Drosophila melanogaster: one gene and its partners. Changing the gene in region 1 together with any one later gene gives a genetic interaction. Each region holds a gene or a part of one and is shown on either strand. Other genes may lie near its edges.

Region 1 (7,783 bases):
CTACGGCACCTTCACCGCCATCGCTAGGGACCTCGCCTCCGGTTTCCTCCTCTTTAACTGCCTCGGGCAGCTGTGAAGGTTTCGGATGGTTTGGATGACTGGTCTGCTGGTGGTGAGGGTGCTGCTGATTTTGTGGGTGATTTTCTCGCCACAGCTTGCTCTTTGCCTCACTGACGATGCGACGCTGTAGATTCAAGTACTTATTGCGCATACTGCTCCAACTAGTCTTGGGTAGCACCTTGAGCTCCAGGGCACTGGGCTCAATGTTTGGCTTGTCCACGATCGCCTTCTTCTTGCGCTTGCGACGGCGCTTTTTGGCAGCTTCATCGCCATCGGTTGCCTCTGTTTTGTCCTCCTGCTCGGAGGCTTCGGCTGTGCCCTCTGCATCCGTTTCACTCGCTGTTTCCCCAGCTGTAGAGGTCTCGCTAGGCTGGCCCTCCTCCAACTTAACCCGTTTCACCTCGTGTATCTCCTCGCGATCCTTGTCGGTGGCCTCCCTTTTTAGATTTCGCTTTGGCAACTCAACCTGTTCAGCCTCTGACTGCGGCTGCTCCGCTTTCTGTTGTATCTGCTGCTGCTGCTGAAAGGAGCGCACACTGGCCAGATCACTGGGATCGGTTTCTACGGACAAAACGCCCTGTATCTGGGCAAAAGCCTTCACAGCTTTCTCCAAGGACCCGCTCTTTTCGAACTCGATAAAGGCAAATTCCTTGATCTTCTTAGTGCCCGGATAGTGGGGCAGGGACACGTAGGCCACCGGTCCGTAGCGGCTGAATACCTCCTTCAGCCAATCGTGAGTGGCATTTGCAGGCAGGGCCTCTACATACAAGGTTTTGTCGTTGACATCGCGCTGATCTGGTAGCTTGGTACGTCGCTTGACCTTTAGTTCGGTCTCATCCAGCTCCAGAAGCTGGGAGTTGCTTAGTGCCTTGGCTATCTGCTGCACATCCTGGGTGAGCGTCTTTATCTTATTGAAAGTGAGAAAGATTTCCAATGGTACATCTGTAAAAGAATAACATGATCAGTGTTATGTTGGCTGGTGAGCCAACCTTAGCTACTCACATGGATCCTGCTCTACGTAGCGCCGAAGGAAGCGATCCTTGCTCAAGTTGGCGTCACCGAAGTAGAATTCCATTTGACCGCGAATCGAATTGAACAAATGCCTCTTCCTTTTGCGTCCACCATCCTTTTTATCCGGCGATGCGTCTTCCGGCGCCGGTTCTTTGGAATTTTCCTCAGCTGGTTCAGTGGGTGCGGCTGGATCGGGTTTCTCCGCTGATGTCGCGGGCTCCTGACCCTCGCCCTTCTCCTTCTCGATACTCTTGGCAGCCATTGAGTGCCAGTTAACCAGTAATCTAAGTCACTCGAATAAAATATTGCACTTGGTTTTTGCGTTCTGATCTATTTGGCAACGCCGTCTAGTTATGAATTGCTGGGATGCCAGGTATTTGCAGCATTCCCATATCGATAGTTTAACGAATATCGGATTCTAAGTACTGTAACGTACACATAAAAACGAATTGAAGCAAGACCATCAAAGCAATAAAAACTGCTATAATTTGTTTTAAGCGAAAGAGACGTATTTCTTTGCTTTAATTATTACCATTATTTCCCACGCTCCTAATAAGGCTTGGCAGCCAAGCGCAAACAACGGGACTATATCGATAGTTCGGCGCTGTGGCAACCCTACTGCGTTGTTTTGGCGGGCGGCAAAAAAAACACAGATGCTATGCTAACCTATGTGTGTTGTACAGTGCGCCGCTAGAATCGGCAACAACAAAACGAAAATAGTCGGCGAATAGGCGAGAAAATGGTTTATTCTCTCTCGAATTAAAGCGCTGATTCAATTCCGACTAACTATTGAGTGATTAAACCTGCAACAGTCAATAATAAGGCATTACAAGTGCGTTCGATAAACCTAAAGTCTTGCAAGCGAAAAAAAAAAGAAAGGCAAGGCGAAAAGCGAGTGGATGGTGACGCTTAGCTGAGTCGGAAAGTCCAGCCATGGAGTCGATTGTCCTGCATTCGGACGTGGCTCGCTTGGTCCTGGGTAGGTTTTCCCTGGACGCTTTTCTAGCTCGCAATATTTATGCTCTTCCATTTTGTAGGCTACCTAGTCAACCAGAATCTAAAAAGGGCCGCACACACTCTGTGTCGCACATCGCCTCACCTGCGCCACGAGTTCCTGGCCCTTAAACAGGGCCTGCAGACGCACAACTTCCTTCACGGGGGTCTGGAGGAGATAATCTGCGAGCATGTCAAGATCACAAGCTTGGGTAAATTAGCACGCTCCTTGCGTTTCTTTTTTTTTGCGGCTGACCGAAAATCTCTCTTTTCAGTGGCCGGTGCCGTGCAGAAGCTGCCGCTGGATATGCGTATGCAGCTGCAGCAGATGAAGCTGTCCGAACGGGTCAGCGAACTGATAGCCGCCGGCGAGAGGAGTAGCTGTACCAATGAAAGCAGCACCCCAGGCGAGCCCACCATATCACAGTCGCATCGCAAGAGAAGGCGCTTGTAATTATAGATTTTTCCTTGACACAAGCACATCGGAATTCTCATTGCTCTCTTACCCCTTTTCCCCAGGCGCACCCATTCTCCCGTGAACAGCATTTCTTCGCCTTCGTTTAGCAAGCGACCGCGTCTGCTGCCGCCACACTTCTACTGCAGCGTTAACCGCGACAAGGTCAGGCAGAGTTTCCTAGGCAGCCAGGATGACTGCGAGGCGGAACTGGACGAAGAGGATGGCGAGAGCACAACGGCCACCGAGGACTTGGAGGAGGATGACTTACTTCCGGCGAATGGTCCTGGTCCGCGCAACAATTCCACGCCGCGCCAAGGTCATACCGAGTCCAATCCACTTCTGCTCACGCCGCAAAGCATGCCTGTAAGTCCATAGACATGCTTAATGCATATCTGCTTAATTAACCAATAGTGCATCTATTATGTATTCTAAACAAAAAACACTCTTTCGATTTACATTGATTTCAGGAACTGGCCTGCGCGATAATTAAGAATCAGGACTTCCAGGAGACGCTGGTAAAGAATATTAACGTAGCGCTGCAGACGGTGACTGTTAACAATCCGTCGGTAAGCTGTGACGCCATGTTGGATGGTCTAGTGAAGAACATACTGGAGGCCACCGAGAAGGATCCCTCGTTCGATCGCATCATACAGGAGGTGGTGATCGGGGATGAACCATTGGCAAATGAGGAGGACCCTGGTGTGTCGCCTGCCTCTGATGCTGCTGGGGCTGCTATTGTTCCCGCTGCTGATGGAGATGTGCTGCCGACAGAACAGGCCGTGGATCCCGTGCCGCCGCAAACACCGCTTATTATTCGCACCGCCGTTGCAGCCACCGCAGGAACCAATGCAGATCCCAATTTCTCCATCTCCAAGCTTATCGTACTGAACTCCAACGAGAGTGTCCAAAAAATGGTTGCTGGTTTGGATACGTCCAATATCAGCTTTACAAGCGAAGGCCTCAATATAAATTTTGCCGATCCAGCGTCAATGCTCAGCGAGGTGGAGGCGACAGCTGCTGGTCAGGTTTGTGTGGACGCCACCACCGGGCAGCTGACGTTTCCCATGTACCTCTCGAACGGTGGACTGCTGTCGCATCTTCCATTCCTGGTGAACAACGAGTGGGTAGCCCAGCAACTTGGGCCGGATGCCTTTGCCAACATTGATGACTCGCACATTGAGATATCGCTGCCGGAGCCGATTACTCTGTCTGCCAATCAGCTGCCCCCCAATTCCATTATCATTAGCAGCGCCCAGAAACAACCACCTCCCCCAAGCGTGGAGCCTCCAGTCCAGTTGATAAAAGATGCAGCCAAAGTGGACAACAAGGCGGGCCAGGGAACGGCGGCAAAAGAGCAACCGATAGATCAACTAGAGGAGGAGCAGCGAAAGTTTCCACCCGCATCCCTGGATTCATCTAGACAAGTCATGGAGAGAGTGACACCCTCGACGTCGGGAATAATTAACGTAAAGGCCTTTCGTAGCTTATCCACTCCCCGAAAGAGAACTTCGCATGTACGAACATTAACTTTTTCCCCTAAGGTTCCTCCTGGTGGCGTCCTGCATTCCAATACGCCGCTGTCCACTAGGCGACCTGGTTTGCTGGCCAAAGCCCAAGAGAAGCCAATTATCAACCATGTGGAGATCATCCAGGCCGCCTGCGACCTGAGCTCAAACGAGGGCCTTGGAGGAGTGCCACCACTCTTCGCCATGGAGGAGTGCAGCAATCAGACGGTGATCAGGGCCCATCCTCCAGCTGCCGCTCCGTCAGCAGCTCCGGTTCCTCCGTTGGTGGCCACGCCCAAAAGAAAACAGAAGCGACAAGCAGCGGTCAAGGCCTGCAAGCGAATCATCTCCCAGGCGGAATCGGAAACCAAGACGGATAAGGATCAAAAGAAAATTATGCCCAAAAATAACTCTGCCTGCAGCGCATCGTCGACCGCTCACGATGACAGCGCCGAGGCCAGCAAAGAGAATCTCCAGGAGCAGCAGAAGATTGAAGGAAAGCCAGATGTAGGCTCCGCCGCCAGAGGAGACGCAGTTGTAGATAACGATATGGCCGCCTGGCAGCGCCAGTTGCATGGCTCCAATTCTGACCTTGAAAATCGGCTGCGTGAGATTAACTCCAAGCGCGAGGAGGTAAAGGCCTCCGGCCGCTCGAGGCGTCCAAAGAAGAAAGATACACCCACTTCAGCTTCGTCGAGAGCACGAAAGGCTCCAATGGTCAAAGCGAAGGCGGAGCCCATGAATCTGGCAAAGAAACCGCAGCGCAGTGTTGGGGATTCCACTGAGAAGATCAACATCAAGATTATCACTCCTCAGAAACCAAAGCTCCTGAAGAAAAAGAAGGTGTTTGAGGCAAAAGAAGAAATCATAGACGAAACCATAGAAGAAACCATAGACGAAACCCAAGCGGAGATCGAGGAAAAGGATCAGAAGAAGAAAAGTGAACAAGGATGCATATATGCAAAGGATCAGGAGCAAGCGAAGGCCTTAGCGGCAGAACTGTCGCGACCCAACATGGCCATGCTTCTGGACACTCCGTTTAAAGCATCTCCCATTGGAGCAGGAGCAAGCGGAGCCGTAGAAGATGACACCACATCAAAGGAAGCTGGTGTTGGTGTAGCCGCTATCATCCCACCCACGCCAGGAATGGCCATTCCACCTCTGGACACGCCATATGGCAAGTTGCCCAGTAGCAGCTTTCTCTTTGGTTCGGATACCAAAAGTATTATGGATACGCCCCAGTTGAGTGCCATCACACCTGGATTTCGCTTGACACCTTTTGGACAGATGCCCGGTACTCCGATAGGCAGTGCTGCCAAGACTGAGTACTCTTCAGGCAGTTCCTATTATCGTCCGGATGAAGCGGAACACACCGATGCGAATGCGCAGTGCGCAATACAACAGTGGGGTGATCCGCAGGATAAGAAACAACCCAAGGTTCGGTCAACGCCCAAGAAGAAAAAGGTTGAGGCAGAGGATGAGCTTTCGCAACAGAAGAATCAAGAGCTAATAGAAATGGAGTGTTCAAAGAAAAGCCTTCATCCGGAGGACAAACATGCTGAGGACAATAAGAAAACACCGAAAAGACCAGAGAAGCCAATGGATGAACATCTGAAGGAAACTGAAAACGATGGTGAAAAGAATGAAACGGTTTTAGAAAAGACACCAGATGCTGTGAAGCAACCCGTTGTCCTGTCCTTGGAGCCCACCGTCCTTCGACGCGTTCGATCCTTTGGCAGTGAGGCGGTGGACAGTGCGGAGTCCGCTACAGCTGGCTCATTTCCCTCCGATCAGCAGCAGCTTCCGCACTATAAACTTTTGCCTGGCCTGCCCGAGGCAATTATTGAAGGATCTAGTAATTCTAGCTCCTCGGCAACCAGTTCATCGTCCTCATCCAGTTCGAGCTCAAGCTCCTCCAGTAGTTCATCATCGAGTTCCTCATCCTCGTCAAGTTCTCACAGCGGAAAGGGGGAAAGCAGAGGGGAAGAGGCAAATGGCGAGAATGCCGACGAAAAGTGCAGCAAGAAAAAGGAGATGCTACTAAACATAGATAACTTATCGAACATTAGCAGCACGGAAGACGAAGAGTGGCTGAAGGCAGCCGGTTCTGAGGATGCAGTTCTGCCCATGCTTGCTATCGACAGTCAGCCAGGTCAGTTAGTTAGCCAGGACGGGGAGGTCCGCTATCCTATCCGGAATTGGCTGACACCAAGCAAAGAGCAGGCCCAGGAGACGGATACCAGTGGAGAACAGCAAACAAAACCTACACCTCCTAAACCGGTGGCTGCTCCTGTTCCGCCTCCGCCGCTTCCTCTAACACCGCCAGCTGCTCCTCCGCCGCCTCCACCGCCTCCGCCAGAGGCGGACGATCCTTCATCCGTCGCTCTTCCAACGGCCTCTACAAGCCGTCAGGAACACCAACGCCAGCAGCTGAATGAAAAACGCCAACGTGTAGTGGCCAAGTTTAAGGAGCAACCCCAACCGATCAAAGGTCAAGGGAGAAAGACTGCCAACAAGAAGCTCACTGCAATGCGTGAAAATGCCAAACTGGCCAATCCAAGCAGTCAAAAATCGCCAAAAAATCGAAAGCACATCGAACCACTGAAAACAAAAGCAGCTAAAAAGCAAATAGAACCAAATCCGAATGTTAAGTCCACAGAGGCTACTGGTCCGCCAGTCGGTGCCGCCACAGATGCGCCAGCAGATCCGCCAGCCGGCAAATTGGATCCCGCTCTGCTCATGGCCCTCAATCTATCTGCGAAAAAACAGGAATCATTACCGATTGTAATCAAACCAAAGGTAAATCGAGCAGCGGTTGAAATTGCGGCACAGCCTGCCCCTGGAAAACGTGGACGCCCGAAAAAGGTACAGAACGGGGAGCCAGCCAATCTCTGTATGCGACGATCCTCGCGCCTAGTCGAAAATAAAAGTAAGTAGTTAAGATCCAATCGAATGGGTATTGAAACTAATATATTGTCTTTGCAAAACTAGCTCCTGCTCCGGAAGATCTCTCCAAATCCACTGAAGGAGCAAAGACGAAGACCCAAATCAAGGCAAATACCAAGAAACCGGCCAAGAAACGTGTCGAGGCAAGGGTACCCTCCTCCACAACCGATGCTCCGGCACTGCCCATTGTAGCGGAGGCGGAATCCACCCAAAAATCTCCAAAGCAAAAGCCGCAAATTCAGCAAACAATACAAGAACCTAAACAGGATCCACCGCCATCGAAATGCGATTCGGAGCCCGATGACAGCGACTTCGAGCAGGACATGTGCCTGAGCAGCAGCCAGGAGCGTTTTACCTATAATTTCACATATGCGGACAACGGACCAAAGTCCAGCAATCCGATGATACGTCAGCCATCGAGCTATTTCAAAAGCTATCAGATGCGCTTGATGACCGATGACGAACAGCTGCATACGCTGCGCATAGCCAGTGCCCAGGTGCTCTGTCTGGGCCAACCGGTGGCCAGCGCCATTCGCAATATACCCAAGAAGCGGATACGCCGCCTGACCGGCAATAGTGGCGGGACAGCGGCAACAGGGGGAAGTGCAAGTGTAAGTGGAGGAAGTGGAACGGGAGCGGAAGTTGCTGCTGCTGGCGAACAGCCTTCGGCCACGTCTACGCCGCTGGTGGAGAAGCCCCCATCCAGGAGTGGGCCGCAAGATGAGGAAGATCTGGAGGTGGCCACCATGTAAGTGGTGAACATATGCATTTTATTTTTTGTATGCTTATCATAATAATAATACCGTTCTTT
Region 2 (4,792 bases), on another chromosome or scaffold:
AGTCTTAAGCTGAGATCAAAAGAATAAAGACGTGAAAACCATCTCTATGATAATTTTTTATTTCTTAGCGTTGACCTTAGTCAACTGAAATTAGTTAGACTCAAATATATAACAATTATTTTACTGTATGCATGTATGCATATAGTAATGCATATTAGTTTACTTTTCCATGAAAATGCATTAATTATATATGTAATTGTATTTGTTGTATAGAAGCAATTACTGGACCACCGGCGGATGAAAAGGTGGACGACAATACGCAGCCTCTTTATTGAAGCAATATTAAAAAAGAAAATAATAAATTTAATAGATGAATTCTTTTTTGTTTTTATTTAAAACGTCGATGTTTTTTCAACATATTTCGCCAAAAACATCGATGTCCGCCATCATCGATATTTCTCAATCTCTATTAACAGAGTCAAATCAAAGACATTAGAATAACATGATTGGTAACGACCATACGTTGGTTTAGCACAATGCAGTCACTTTTTTGGTGACGGTCAATATTGACATTCTCTGGTAATCGAATTCGTAAGAATTTTACTTTTGTCTGGGCGAAATTAAAAGTAAATGCCTGTTATACATACATATATCTATCAAATCAGATCTTATTAACTAAGGAAAAAATATTTTATTCAGTGGTCTATCGATGTTAATTCCAAATCACCACAAGATCATTCTGCCAATGCGTTATTATACAAAAAATGTATTTCCGACCCCACCTCAGATTTGACAAACAACATTTTGCCGTCAGCAACAAATATTTTCGATTTAGCAAGGGGATTAGCAAAGGAGAAGTACGTTCCCAATATTTATTGCGAAGGCTGCCATACTGTTGGTAAAACGAAACAGGCAGGTAAAAATACTTATAAAATATAAAAGAATTCATTAATGAATTTCAGGAATGGCCAAAAGAGTTGTATGTATTTAATTAAATGTATTTTTATTACTTAAATGTCAAAGTGCAATAACAAAGTAATTGCGAACGTCGGACTTAAAACTGTAAAAAAAGGTGTCCGCTCTATGGTCTGGAAAACAGCTTGAACAGCTGTTTAATGTTTACAAAACATTCCGATAGCAAAAATTTTGCGAAAACCAAAACAGCTAAAAACGAAATCAAAAGATTTTGCCCAAATCGAAATAAAAAATAAAAATTACAGGAGCATGATTGACTATAAATTATCGCTGTGCATGCTTGGCATCTCTTACATCAGCACAAAACACAAGGATTGGCAGAATTGGCGCTTTTTCAAATCTACAGCAGAACACAAGATCAGTAGAGATGTTGAACCATCGGTGCCTGATCCCACGCAGTAGAAACTTTCCCCTTTCGTTTAACAGTTGCCTCTTTTAAATCTGTTCCAGTCTCATGTTAAGCTTTGTTAACGATGGGAAATTGGTTATAGCATGATTGCACTCGTTTTCCGAAATGAGGATGATTCCATTTCCACATTTTCGAAATGTATTTGTGGACCGTATCATATGAACTTTATTTATCACTAAAACTAATAGAAAAATATACACATTCTTTGATAGGATTTTCTTTAAGCATATGAAAAATTTAATTCATATCGGTTTACAAATTTGTAGTATTATTTAATTTTATGTTTTGCATGTATATTTCAAGCTATACCGATATAATTACAGAGATTACAGCCAGCTTGTTCTATATTTAGAAGCTAGTCGACGTGGAATCAAGATATATTTTGCGTTGTAAAAAAATACTAAAGTTTAGTATGTTGCAAAAAACCCAAATATTTAGGCATCGAATACCCATGCCAAACAAGCAGAATAACCTTTTCAATATTTTGAGTCATTTGGTATCGCGTTTTATAAAAATTACTTGAATTCTTTTGTTTTCCTCGGCTTTTAGTGAAACAATTCGACTATCATTAAATTTATGTGGCGTTTAATTAATCTTTCGTATTATTTCAATCAGAATTTTTTTAACATATTCACTACATTTTCTTAGAGAACCGTTTGTCATATTTAATGTATATTATGTTCCCTACTTAAATATGACAATTATTAATTCTGTGTGTGTACGTATCAATCATCCGTGATATTATATTCATGTCTTATATTGCCTACATATGGAATAATGGCAGTAAAAATGCTGTTCTTTCAGATACATCAAATAGCCTCAGGGAATGCAACGCTCAGGAAACATACAAATCTTACCTAACACATGTGCCTACAATTATCCTGGCATTTGAAATGCTTTAATACTAACTTTAAACTCATGCGTATGTGGATTATAGTATTGTAAATATGGCATACGAACGTTTTGGAATTATTCTTCAAAGTGAACAGTACGATGAAGATATAGGCAACACAAAAGTCAATCAGAAAATGAATGAAGGTAAGTTCGGATTTTACAGGCATGTCTATGTTTTGAAAATCGAATTATAGCAACAAAGCACTTTTTTATAAAGCGTAACAACAAAATACTGTTTAATGAAGCATAAAATATAAACATATTTACTTGTTATACCCGTTAGTCCTAGAGTAAAAGGGTATACTAGATTCGTTGAAAAGTATGTAGAAGGAATCGACCACAGTATTCTTACTCATGATCACTAGCGCCAAGTCGATCTGCCCGTATAAACGTTGAGATCTCGGGAACTAAATAAAAGATGTGAAAGTTAAGATAAAGCATGCACATTCTAGAGAAAATTACCACTTCTACTCCAACGCCCACAAACCTTCAAAAACTGTCAAAACTAAAATTTTAATATTGTTTAAGCCGCCATACTAACATTTTTAAGCCAAGCCCAGATCGTTAATGTCAGCTTTTAAGCGCCTTGGCATCGAAGAAATGAAGTATCATCAGATTGTTCAGTAATATGTTAGGTTAAGGTTTTTCCAAAGGAGGCAAGACTCGGAAGACTATCACTCAAAACACAGTGTTGACGGGTGTGAGGCTAATCCTCATCTCTCGTGAGTTACCTGTAATGGCGGAGACGCCGGGTACCCATGTAAGCGTTAGTTTGGGTGTGCTGTAGACGTTCAAGTTCAATAATGGTGTTGCTCACAGGCACGCTCTTGCTAGTGTTCGCTTGAAATGTTAATATGCCGCATGACTGTCCACAATCAAAGCTGTTATTCTGATTCCCATCTGACTCACATCGTTCTTTAATTGCTAAACTGCAGAGTCCTTATACCCTTGTGAGCGTTAGTTTAGTGTGCCGTAGATCTCCCAGTTCCATGATGGTGTTGCGCACAAGACCCGTTACCTTTTCGCTTTTGGCTTAAAGATTTAAAGAATATTATATGGATATGTACGGATTTGCGGATATCCTAATGTGCTTTTGAAGACATAGAATTTTAATTTAAAGTATTTTTAATTAGCTGCGCAAATAATTTTGTATAGAGAATATAGTAGCTAATTTGGTTGAAAATTTATCACGCTATATAAGTATTCTTAAACTCGCAAAGTAAAAGGGGTTTCGAAAAACAATGGCAACCGAAGGAAGCGTTCCCGACCCTATAAAGTATATATATTTTTGATCCAGTGAACTACCCAAGTCGAACTGGATATGTCTGGCAGTATGAATGTCGAGATCTCAGGAACTAAATAAGCTAGAAAGTTGAGATTAAGCATGCAGATTTCAGAGACAAATCCGCTCAAGACTGCTATTTGATTATTTTTCTCCACTAGTTGCGTAATGGGTATCTGATAGTCGGAGAACTCGAACATTTTCTCTCCTTTGTTCATAGATTTAAATATCAACATGCTGTGCATGCTTGCTTACACTGATATAATCGCCTTTACCCGAAATTGTCTGCCTGTACTTGTTCAATATTTATAAAGTATTAATTACGTTATAAAGTATATACATTATATACACTTTTTGTCCGTTTCTAGGTAAACTAGTTTCCAAATTTGAAAGAATTATTTCTTTAGAGGATCAATATACAGCTGAATTCATTGAAATATTTTCCCTGATCCCTCCCTCTCTTTCGTGAGCGACTTTTATTTTACTTTTGTAGAATGGACATTTACTTTTTTATGGTGTTTATTAGAATAGAGTTGTCTGATGTTGTTTAACGAAATAAAAATTAAAAAGTGAATTTGATTAAGTTGATTTGCATATTTAAAAGGACAATGCAATAAATAAAATTTTAAAGAGCCCAGAAACGAGGAAATAAATAAAACAACAAAGTATAAGTGTAATATTAGTAAGATCTAATTATGTGTTAAAAAAGTTATAATTGATTGCTGTAAGAGCGGCAGAGAGTAAAGATTACAGATAATAGGATTACGTCTATTATAGTCAGAACATAACATGAACATACAGAATGATTTAAGATTAAGGGTATGTAGTTTCTAGTGAATATACTTGGAACAGAGAAGTTTCGCCGAAAAACCAGGTCGGGACTACTCGTATCGTACTACTCGTAAACTTACTAATAAAGACTGTTCCAAGCATCGTTCTACGGTTAGCTAGGGAGGGTAACTGAATTAGAATTAGTCTACTGGAATGAGGAATAGGACCCACAAGGCAAACATTAAGAATTTTTTTTGGACCCATTCAATGATGCCCAGTCTCTGCCTAGCCTTCGTTGCATACGGACGATCGCGATAGTCTAGTCTGTTTGTTGTAACACATCAACAACTCTTCCAATCGTACTGTGCACGCGCACAATTTCTATTTCTATCCAATGCACAGCAGTGGTGACAGACAATTACGTTACTTATCATAGATAAGCTCAACCAAGCCGACGCTTTGTAAGCCCCTCAATTGTTATCTCTCGAGCTTGCGAAGTTGACAACTAGTAGTAACACCAA
Region 3 (4,892 bases), on another chromosome or scaffold:
CGTGTGGGCCGCTCTAGTGTGGTCGCCACACACAACTCCCAAGGGCAAATTAAATCTCGAAACATTCGCTAGGCTGGACGTTCAACAGTGCCGTTGCAGGATTAATTATCGACCTCACGTTCATAAGCAGTCCATTCGCTCGCTTCTCCTGTTGGGGTATCAAGGAGGTGGTCACAGTCAGTGACCACGAGGCGATCCAGGTCGAAATAGGCACAAAGGCAATCGAGAGCAGGGCTAACACGCAGTAACCTAAGGCCTACCGACAGAACACCATGAGTCTAGAAGAGTCCGCCGGCATTCTCCATTACCTGACGGTCAACGAGGCGAACTTGTGATCGCAGCAGCGGATAAAATAGTAGCGAGGGTGGAGGAGGCCTGCGGCCAAAGCATGCGAATGAGGAAAACGAACCGAAGGCACCACACCCTGGTTTTCTGGTGGAGCGAGGATATTGCCTTGCAGCGCATCATCAGCCTACGCGCAACGAGACTCGTACAAAGAGCTCGTGGCACCACGCGTCTGGAAGCATGCCATACGGAATACAAGGTCACAAAGAATTCACCGAAGAAAACGATTAGAGCCAGCAATCGTGAATGCTTTCTGAAAGTCTGCGTCGCAGCAGAAAGCGATCCATCTGCTCTGGAAAACATCTTTAACGTTCTGTTCCTGTTCGGTCTGCCATTCCCAATTCCCAGATCGGGCCAAGCGGAGACGAATTGCGGCCTGTCACGGAGCCCGAGATCCTAGCGGCTGAGAGGAGTCTTAAAACCAAAACGGTACCACACCCGATCGCATCCCAAGCAAACTACGAGAAACAGTGCTATGTTTGTTACCGCCTAAATTTGAAGGTTTTTTTTTTGTTTTACCAATTATTTTTAAAATATCCATGAGATCTGTTACTAATTTTTTTATTTCGATTGAAAATCATTGTAGTATTTAAGTTTAGTGAGTAAAATAATGAGAAAGTGTCAGAAAATAGAGAAAAGCTGGGACAAACACGAAATGTGCTTATGATGCTATTATTGTTACCGCAACTGTAATAAAGAGAGTTTCTTGACAGTCTTAAAAGCGTGTAAACTTGGAATTTGTTGTTTATTTTCTTGTATATTTAATATTTTTAATTTGTTTTTTGATTTATAAGTAAAATAAATATTGTTTGATTATATTTTATAAAAAAAATTGCGTTTAATTAAGCAAAAAACCCTTTATTTTTAGCTTTAAAGTCAAAAATTCAACTTATTTTACAGTGTGTAAACAGTTTCTTGACAAACTGTATGTGATATGTGATTCTAGAGACATAGGCGCCGCGCAAGTTTGTTAACCCATGTTGCCATGTGCAATCCAACGCACACATACCGGACAAAACTGCCACGTCTACACTTATGTAAAATGTTTTATTATTCTTTCATATTTTTATTTTCTTTTAAATTTCTATGAATTTGCCAGAAAACATTTTGCCATGACCACTCTAACGCTAACAATTTCAAAATGTTTTGAAATTTTTTGATTTTTGTATACAATTTCTATTAATTCGCGGCCACGGCCCTTCTTACACCTTCCAAACCGGTCAAGACCGAACTTTTGATCAATTTGAAACAATTTTGTTCTTATTTTATATCCCAGTATTTAACGATATCCCAGAAAAATGATGAATGAATTTCGTGTTCCCATTTTCACGAGCTGACTAACGGTTATCTGATTGACTCGACAATACCATTCTCTCTTCATTTGAAATTATATGTGGTATATCATTGGTATAACATTGATATTATGTTAATATGGTTTTTGCCGCCGTAAGAATAGGGTATAAGCTATTAAGTTGCTGTTCACAGTGTTCAATATTTGAGTATGTAAATATTTGATTTTCTCTTGTAAATCGTATTAACAGCTGAGTGGATGTTTGAAAATAATTAAATCAGGTTGCTTTTATAACTTAATGCAATTCATATTGATATTTTACTGATATTCTCTTTCTTAAAGGTTTAATCATGTAAACAACATCACAGTGTCTTTACTTAAGGGTGGCTTATTGATTTTAGACACATGTTATCAACGTTGGATTTTAATGCATGTTGAACAAACACGAATAAATATGCAGTCTCAAGGACAGAGCCATCAACTGCCGTCCGCGGCCCATATATTATTAGATCAAAATCCGAATTCAACAGGCAGTAACCTAGTCGTAAAACAAAATGACATTCAATCTCTTTCATCAGTCGGTAAGAAATAACCATACATTTATATATGTATGTACATACGTTTGTAATTGATTTTTTTAAAGAATACATCTAGTTAAATACTTTATACATTAATGCAAATGAATAAGTTTGACAGCGAAGACAACCACAATTAAATTAAGAAAAATCAATAAATCAAACAATTGGTTATGCCTGGCCCGAGATAGATATGTGTCTAATGTGTCTCATATTAACAACATATTAAGAGATGCATATGGTGTACGCATCTAAAAATTCACACAACATAAAAATCAGTGTTCAGTGTCTGAGCTTATTTCGTGTAGTTAAATTAATTTTTATGTTGGCATTGCTTCGATGAAAGATACCAGAAAAATGTAAACGCAATATTTTTGAAAGAATTATTGACATGGTTAAAAAACAGACGATTTCCGTATTCTAAATGTGCATCCCTCATTAAAGCCGTATCTTGTAAGGGGTATCTGGTAGTCGAGAAACTCGTCTATAATGTTATCTCTCACTCCATCTAAAATTAAATTTTTTATTGTAATTTTTTTTTTTTCTGGCTTAAAGCTTACTTTGCACTTAAATTTTTTTTCGTTCTGCTGTAGCTTGCACGTTTTTCCTTTTTTAAATTTTTGACAACATATATTACATATATGTACATATATTATTTGGTATTCATTGAAAAGTTCTTCGGTGCTTTTCGGCCTTCATTCAATACAGTATTTTCTTTTAGGGAGAAGCTTCCGCTTCTCCGCGAAGTTGGATCAATCTCGGATATTAAAATTAAAAAATTGTTAGGTTTAAAATGGCCATTTATTGAATATTAACATACTGCACAAAATAAGCTGCGGCATAAAAAACACCTTTTTGTTTTCTAAAACGATTAGAAAATTGCTTTTTTTTTATATAACAAATTTAAGAATCCGGTGCTGAAATACCTTATTGGTTTGAAACCTCTAAACTGTACGAACAAACTACAGCAGACAACTTCGGATGTGTCCTTTGAAATTTCAAGGGTTCGTTACCCTGCATATCCGTTGGTTAATCTGCACCAATTGAAGTGCTTAACACTAGTCTAATTTGTTTAAACTGTATTATTTCTAGAATATCATTGACTGCGTAGTGAGAGATCTTGAAAACTCATTGACTCGGCCCATTTTAGGGTAGTCCTGAATCTGGATGTGTATGATCTATACCTGTATTTCAATCTGCATACATATGCATGTGTCTGCAGTTCTCAGTGTGTGTCTCAATCATCTTTCCTTGCTGTACCTGAGGAATTATCTCTTGAGCATAGTATCTAGTTGCCTTCTCTAAAGTATGAAGCTTATACAGATTACTTCCTCTGATAATTGCACGAAATAATATTCAGTGTGAAGAAGGAAGTTTAAAAATAAGTTTTGTTTTCATTTTATTATTTGCCTTGCTATGTTTTATTGATTTAAAAATCTGTTGCGGAACTCGACCAAAGGGTACGGCCAAAGACACCAGAATAACAAGATGCGTAACGCCATTCGATGTGGCTCTAGAGCACTATGGGGCATTTGGCCTGTTTTTTTTACAATAATGTGTTTTTCACAAGTATGCAAATTTGAAGTATTTTAGTATTAATACATTGGAAATACGTTAAACTGTTATGATACAGCCCGCAAAAGTTAATTTTACAATGCACCGTTATAATAACAGCTGTTAAAGTCGGCTGTTGCGAGCATATATCACGTGGCTGCTTTGCGCGCAAAATTTAGCTTAACTTTCAAAGTGTTAAAATTTAAAAAGAAGAAGAAGGAGAGTATAATTTGAAATAGATAATCAATCTTTAGGTTTTTATTATGTGTTGTTATTAATATATTGTTTATTGTGTGCGCCTATTTCTAACAATTTGTACATTTAGCAAGTGGTGTCAACATGTAGTTGTTTGAAAAAATTTTAAACTTTGAATAGAGCTACAACAATTTGTTCAAATTTGTTCAGTAAGTGTTTATATCCATGTTGTAGTGTGTTCAATTTCTAACTCATATCAGGTAGTCTCTATGTGCGTTTTTTGCGGTTTCTTGAGAAATTTCATTTTTTAGGGAGCAATATCTCGATTTCCAATGCTGCCCTGCTGGAAGTGTGGCGCAAGCAAAAGGTTGTTCGTCAAAAGGAAAATTCTATTTGCACTTTTATCAGTGGGCATATTTCTGATAGCAAGCTAGACTTTAATGAACGATTAACGAATAATATTAATAACGAATGATTTCAGTCAATCTTTTGCGAAATTGGAGAAAATGCAATCGAAAAATAAATGAATTTTTGAAAGTTTTTCAAATTGGTTAGAAGAACACCTAGTCCTGAAGGTAAAGGAGAAAAATAAAAAGGAAAGGAAATTAGCTGGACTCCCGAAAACGTCATATTATTTAAAAAATTTGAGTGGCCGAAGACAGCAAGCAGATGAACTCGTAAGGGCGCAGAATCACAACGAATGTCTTTTGGTTCAAGCTGTACGGAAGTGCTGCCTGCGGGATCTTGCAGCCATACTTAAAATTCTTTTGTTGAACCCAGCCAAAGCAAAAACTATTAGTAGCTTCGCAGATGTCTTTTACAGAGCAATGGATACTACGGATCCCATAATATCATCAATAAATTTAAAGAGGCGAAAACATAAGCGACTATCTCTTCCACCAGAAGTCATTCAAATGTTAGCTTGCGAATTT
Region 4 (4,659 bases), on another chromosome or scaffold:
CCTTTGGAGGTCCCTGTAATGCTGGAATTTTTCTTCTACGGTGAAAACTGTGTGCGAAAGTGTTTACTGGAGTGATTACAAAAAAAAAACAAATCCCTGCCTAAAACACCACTTAAATTAAAATTCATTGGGGTTTTTTGACCATCACTATTGTGAAAGATATGATAACAGAATGCAATTCTATTATGATTCCGTAAAAGTTCACGCAAAGACAATTCTTGAGTGCATATTTTGTCTAGACGATTCATACAAAAGGCTAAAAATAGACCAAAAAGCACATTTTCAATAAAATGCAAGCTTTCGACATAAGGTCCGATCGGTAAACAATTTTATAGTAACATGAACTTAAAAAAAAGTTGGAAACAAACTAAGACAAAACAAAAATATTTGTTGATTGAAAAATATAATAACATTTAAATGTTATGTATTCAATGATAATTTTAGTTGTTTGGCTTGAAGGGTACTTTTACAATTGTGTACTTATCAAACTTTTAAATATAAAATTTTAATATTTTTACAGTTTTAATATACTCTAAGATTACTACTGTATTTCTTCTATGAGAATAAAAATCAATCTTTATTATTGTTTGGGATGAAACTTTAAAAACATTTTGTAATTTATTAAGGCTAGTTTAAGAAATGGTTGAAATATAAGAATAAGAAATATAATAAGAAATATATTAATTTAAAACCTCCTGACATCTCCGATTTTACTGTGGGCAAACCAATCAATAAAAGTATTATAATAGAATGGAAAATGAATAAGAAATTAAAAAATTTTAAAAAGAAGTTTTCCCTGCAATAAAACTGAAAGAAAAAATCTTTAGACTTTTTGATCTGCGAACTTCGAAGACTTCAGAATAGTATTGGGTGAGTACGCTACTATTTAGAGGATAGGATCATTATAAATAAAAATATGCAAAATAAACTCTTAACTCCCACGGCAATGATAATAATGGTGTTAATTTGCATGGAAAGTATCGTCATGGTACGGTTCCTTCGTTCGCAATTTATCCGTTAGATCTGCATTGTTACGTTACGTAGAGCAGTCTAACGGTTAATTCGCCAAGACGGAAACGAAGTTGCTGCTTTTATTGTTGTTGGCTGCCACTGATTGGAGAGCTCTTTCGCGCTCACATTGTGGTTGTTGCTGTTGCTGCCACTTCTGTGGGGGAAAAAAGGAAAAGGCAAGGGAAAAGAAGCAAAAAGCATTTCCAATTTGGAGGCATTAAATAGCGTGGGAGCGAGAGGGGTGCAGATATAGACGTACGCCTACGTGCAAATATGCGATTTCTGCTGACGGAAATTGCAAGTTGCGATTACATAGGCACTCATTCTACCTTGATTGCACATGGTCTTATGTATTCCGAAGTGTTTGCAGATGGATAAGAGCCCGTAAGAGTTGTAAAACCTCTGCCATTTATGTGCAGCCCTTTGTTCTCTATCCCCCTCCCTCTTCAATTTTCCGCTTGTACATACAGAAACGAACAAAGAAACGGCTGGCAAAGCAAAAGAAAAGAGCCAAACGCCGACGTCAATGTCGGCGTCGACGCAGGCAGCGGCAGCGACCGACGATGTGGCGACCGAAAAACAGAGTCAGCGAAGAGCGCCTGTTTTAGTGCAACACCAACATTCAACGAGAGCGGTTCGTCGACGCTGTGCGGAAAGATTACAGAGCGAACGAGAGAGACCGAGCCAGAGCGACGACGCCCCGCAACGAGAACAACAAAAGAGCCGAGTGCGCGTGCAAGAGAGATAGCTGACTTGTTGCCCAGTGAGAGGCCGGCGAGAGCGAGACGGACGATCAGTGTGCGAGCGACGAAAAAGAAAACAAAGATACTCGCCCAGAGCAGTTGGCTACCTGTCTTTGGCCTGGTATATAAGTGTGTGTATGCGAGAGAGAGTAAATAGCGGGCAACGCAGCAGTACATAAACGAAAAGCAGCGTGGTCGTTAGTCGAACAAAAACTCTCAAAGCGAACGGACGTGTGCGGTCGGTTGTTTCGATACTCCTGCTTTATCGCTATCCAAACAGAGTGAAGCGACCACTATAAATAACGAAACAAGAAACATGTGTTTATATTACAACCAGAGCTCAAAGCTTCAGTTGCATAATAATAATAATAATAAAAAAGCAATCTGAAGCCAATTTCCTTTGTGTGACAAATGCCGTAGCAGCAACAACAGAAGCACAACACAACTACGTCTGCTGGCTTATGTACGTCGCGCGCGCTTGTGTGTGTGTGGGGCAGAAAACATAGAGCAAAGCATAATACACAATAAAGGTGCCCGCGAAAGCAGAGCAGCCGAAAGTGCCAGCGCGTGTTGGTGTGGTTTGAATGTGCAGGCGAAGTGAAGAAGTAGAAAGAAAATAAAATAAAATAAAAGTGAAGTGGAGCATAGTGAAGAAAGAGAAGCAGAAACGCTGACTCAAAACTCAAGTGTGGATTATTTACTTGGATTATTCCTCTTGCCATTGGATTATTTATGTATACAAGGCGACCACCGCGATGCCAATTAACTGGCTGGATTATTAGTGGATTAAAGATTGGATACAAAGGTACATGATTGGCGTTAATCAACACTGCTCTCGACCGGCAGCTGTTGCGCTCTCCCCCCACCAACCACAGCCCCTCTTCTGTTTTCTCTTGATGACCCCCTCTCTTTCTTTCTCCTTTTGTCCCAGCAAGTAAGAATTTCGATTGGACACACGGCAATTGAAAAAGGGGAGCATGAGAATATGAGCGTGTGTGACTGATTTTTTTTTACTGCTCTTTCATTTAGCAACGTTTTTTGTTTTATGTTTATGTACTTGTTTCTTTGAATGAAAGCAATATGCGAGTGTGTGTGTGTGCGTGCTTGTGAAAGAGGAGATAAAGCCGCAGTCTCGGTTCTGCATTCTCCGAATTTTCGCTGGGTTGTTGTTTTTTCTGTTCCCTGTCACAGTCTCGCGTTTCCCTTCTTTCAACATCCCTTCGCATCCCTACCCACACACACACACACAAACATACGCGAGCATATAAACACACGCACACCACACACAAATAAGAAATTCCGCTGCTTTTTTTTTTATTATCCTTTTCATGTTGGTACTCACTCACATTTTTTTGCGCGCGCGAGAATCCCTGAGACTTTAAACACGGCAATGGAATGGGTTCGGTAAAATAAGAAGGGAAAGGGCCAACAGAAGGGTTCCTCTTTTCGCACAGCACTTAAAAGTGATGTAAAAAGGATTTAAAGAGGCCTGCTGGCAATTTCTTTTCGCCCTCTCCCATATACAGTCATTCATATTCCATTGCCATATTTTCTGTACACAAATATAATTTTCCATATTCTGTGTGCCCCCGGAGTTGAAAAAGTTTTTCCGAAAAGTTTACCGTATGTACCTTGACTTTTTACTGGCGCGTTGATGCAAAAACAACTTGAAGTTGTTTGAAATACACATTTTGTTCGACGCCCCCACAGATCCGCCCCCCACTTTCGATGTACTTGGCATCTGGTTAAAACTCCACTCGGCACTCTTCACTCTCCCCCCTCCACCCTTCCATCCATAATAAAACAAAGCACCCCTGTGCAACTCTGCTCCCCCCTCTTTTGATCCCAAAAGTGCTGTGCATTTCAATATATTCGACGTAGGCATTCCCATGGCAACTACAACATCCATTATCGAGGGCCCCCACATCCATCGACTGATTGCAAATAATAGCTGCCAGATTGCGACTCCTTTCTGTCTACTGCTCAAGTCCCACAAGCTTTAATTTGGGACATCATGTCTGAGTTAAATGCATTTTGATTTCTTTGAGCTAAAGCGTTCTCTAACAAATTAAAGTCAAAGCATATTCACTAAACTCTAAAAATTGAAATGATCTTTAAGTTTCGATGTTCATGCAACAACATATTTGTTTATTTTACTTAATAAGTTCTTGTCTTTGATCATTTATATTGAGTCAGCGTACTTGGCAACATCATTAAAATATTTTCTGAACAGATCTCTTATGACGATCACTGTAGAAACTTTATCACCATTTCAACTATATTAAAACTGATTCACGAAGAATGATGCAAAAGAGAAGATTGCAGTGAGGAAAAATACGATCCCACCGAGTTCATTAACTCTACCAGTTTTCCCAGAAAGTGTATATTTCCCTTGCCTCCATTATTCTATCGTAAACAGCGAGGGGCGAGTGGAGCTTTAAGCTTCTTCGCGCACCAACGAGGCTATACCGATATAGCTTCGGCTTATTGCTTTCTGCGGCTCAGCGTCTGATTTATTTATAATCTTCAGCACGCTCTCTTCTCGAGTCGATTTACATTTTCCATTTCACATTTTCCATGCGCTCCTTTATTCGCATTTAATTTTAACTTCTGGCATTATCTATTTTGCAGATTGACGCTTGTGCGAAAAACAAAAGCGAATTTTTAGCGGCGAGAGTGTATTATTACTATGATGACGCCAGAATCGAAAGCAATACAGCCGGCAGCAGCAACAACAAAGCAAACAGCAGAAGCAACAGCAACAACAACAATGGCTCACACACAACAAAAGTCGCAGTTGTCAACGTTGGCGAAAACAACAACGACAACGGCAACGAATAAGGCGGCCAAAAGCGTTGTCAGCAATGCAAATAGCAGTGGCAACAATTCGAGCAAAAAGCTGGCT

What was found.
Region 2: of mxc (region 1) and pho, changing one enhances a phenotype caused by changing the other (phenotypic enhancement), as found in Drosophila melanogaster (one study listed by BioGRID).
Region 3: of mxc (region 1) and sxc, changing one enhances a phenotype caused by changing the other (phenotypic enhancement), as found in Drosophila melanogaster (one study listed by BioGRID).
Region 4: of mxc (region 1) and Psc, changing one enhances a phenotype caused by changing the other (phenotypic enhancement), as found in Drosophila melanogaster (2 studies listed by BioGRID).

What each region holds. Positions count from the first base shown.
Region 1 is NC_004354.4:9,237,426-9,245,208, reverse strand, and holds the start of mxc (multi sex combs), read left to right. Parts: upstream 1-1,741; 5' UTR 1,742-2,004; coding exon 2,005-2,050; intron 2,051-2,108; coding exon 2,109-2,276; intron 2,277-2,339; coding exon 2,340-2,514; intron 2,515-2,583; coding exon 2,584-2,884; intron 2,885-2,988; coding exon 2,989-6,955; intron 6,956-7,017; coding exon 7,018-7,720; intron 7,721-7,783. Other genes in the region: Larp7 (La related protein 7), read right to left, coding at 1-1,002, 1,063-1,333.
Region 2 is NC_004353.4:1,178,618-1,183,409, reverse strand, and holds the start of pho (pleiohomeotic), read left to right. Parts: upstream 1-1,781; 5' UTR 1,782-1,820; exon of another isoform or gene 1,821-2,042; intron 2,043-2,128; 5' UTR 2,129-2,271; coding exon 2,272-2,362; intron 2,363-4,792. UniProt on the Drosophila melanogaster protein: Polycomb group (PcG) protein that binds to the 5'-CNGCCATNNNNG-3' sequence found in the regulatory regions of many genes.
Region 3 is NT_033778.4:5,305,436-5,310,327, forward strand, and holds the start of sxc (super sex combs), read left to right. Parts: upstream 1-1,852; 5' UTR 1,853-2,063; coding exon 2,064-2,217; intron 2,218-4,892.
Region 4 is NT_033778.4:12,977,948-12,982,606, reverse strand, and holds the start of Psc (posterior sex combs), read left to right. Parts: upstream 1-1,612; 5' UTR 1,613-2,559; intron 2,560-4,385; 5' UTR 4,386-4,443; coding exon 4,444-4,659. UniProt on the Drosophila melanogaster protein: Polycomb group (PcG) protein. PcG proteins act by forming multiprotein complexes, which are required to maintain the transcriptionally repressive state of homeotic genes throughout development.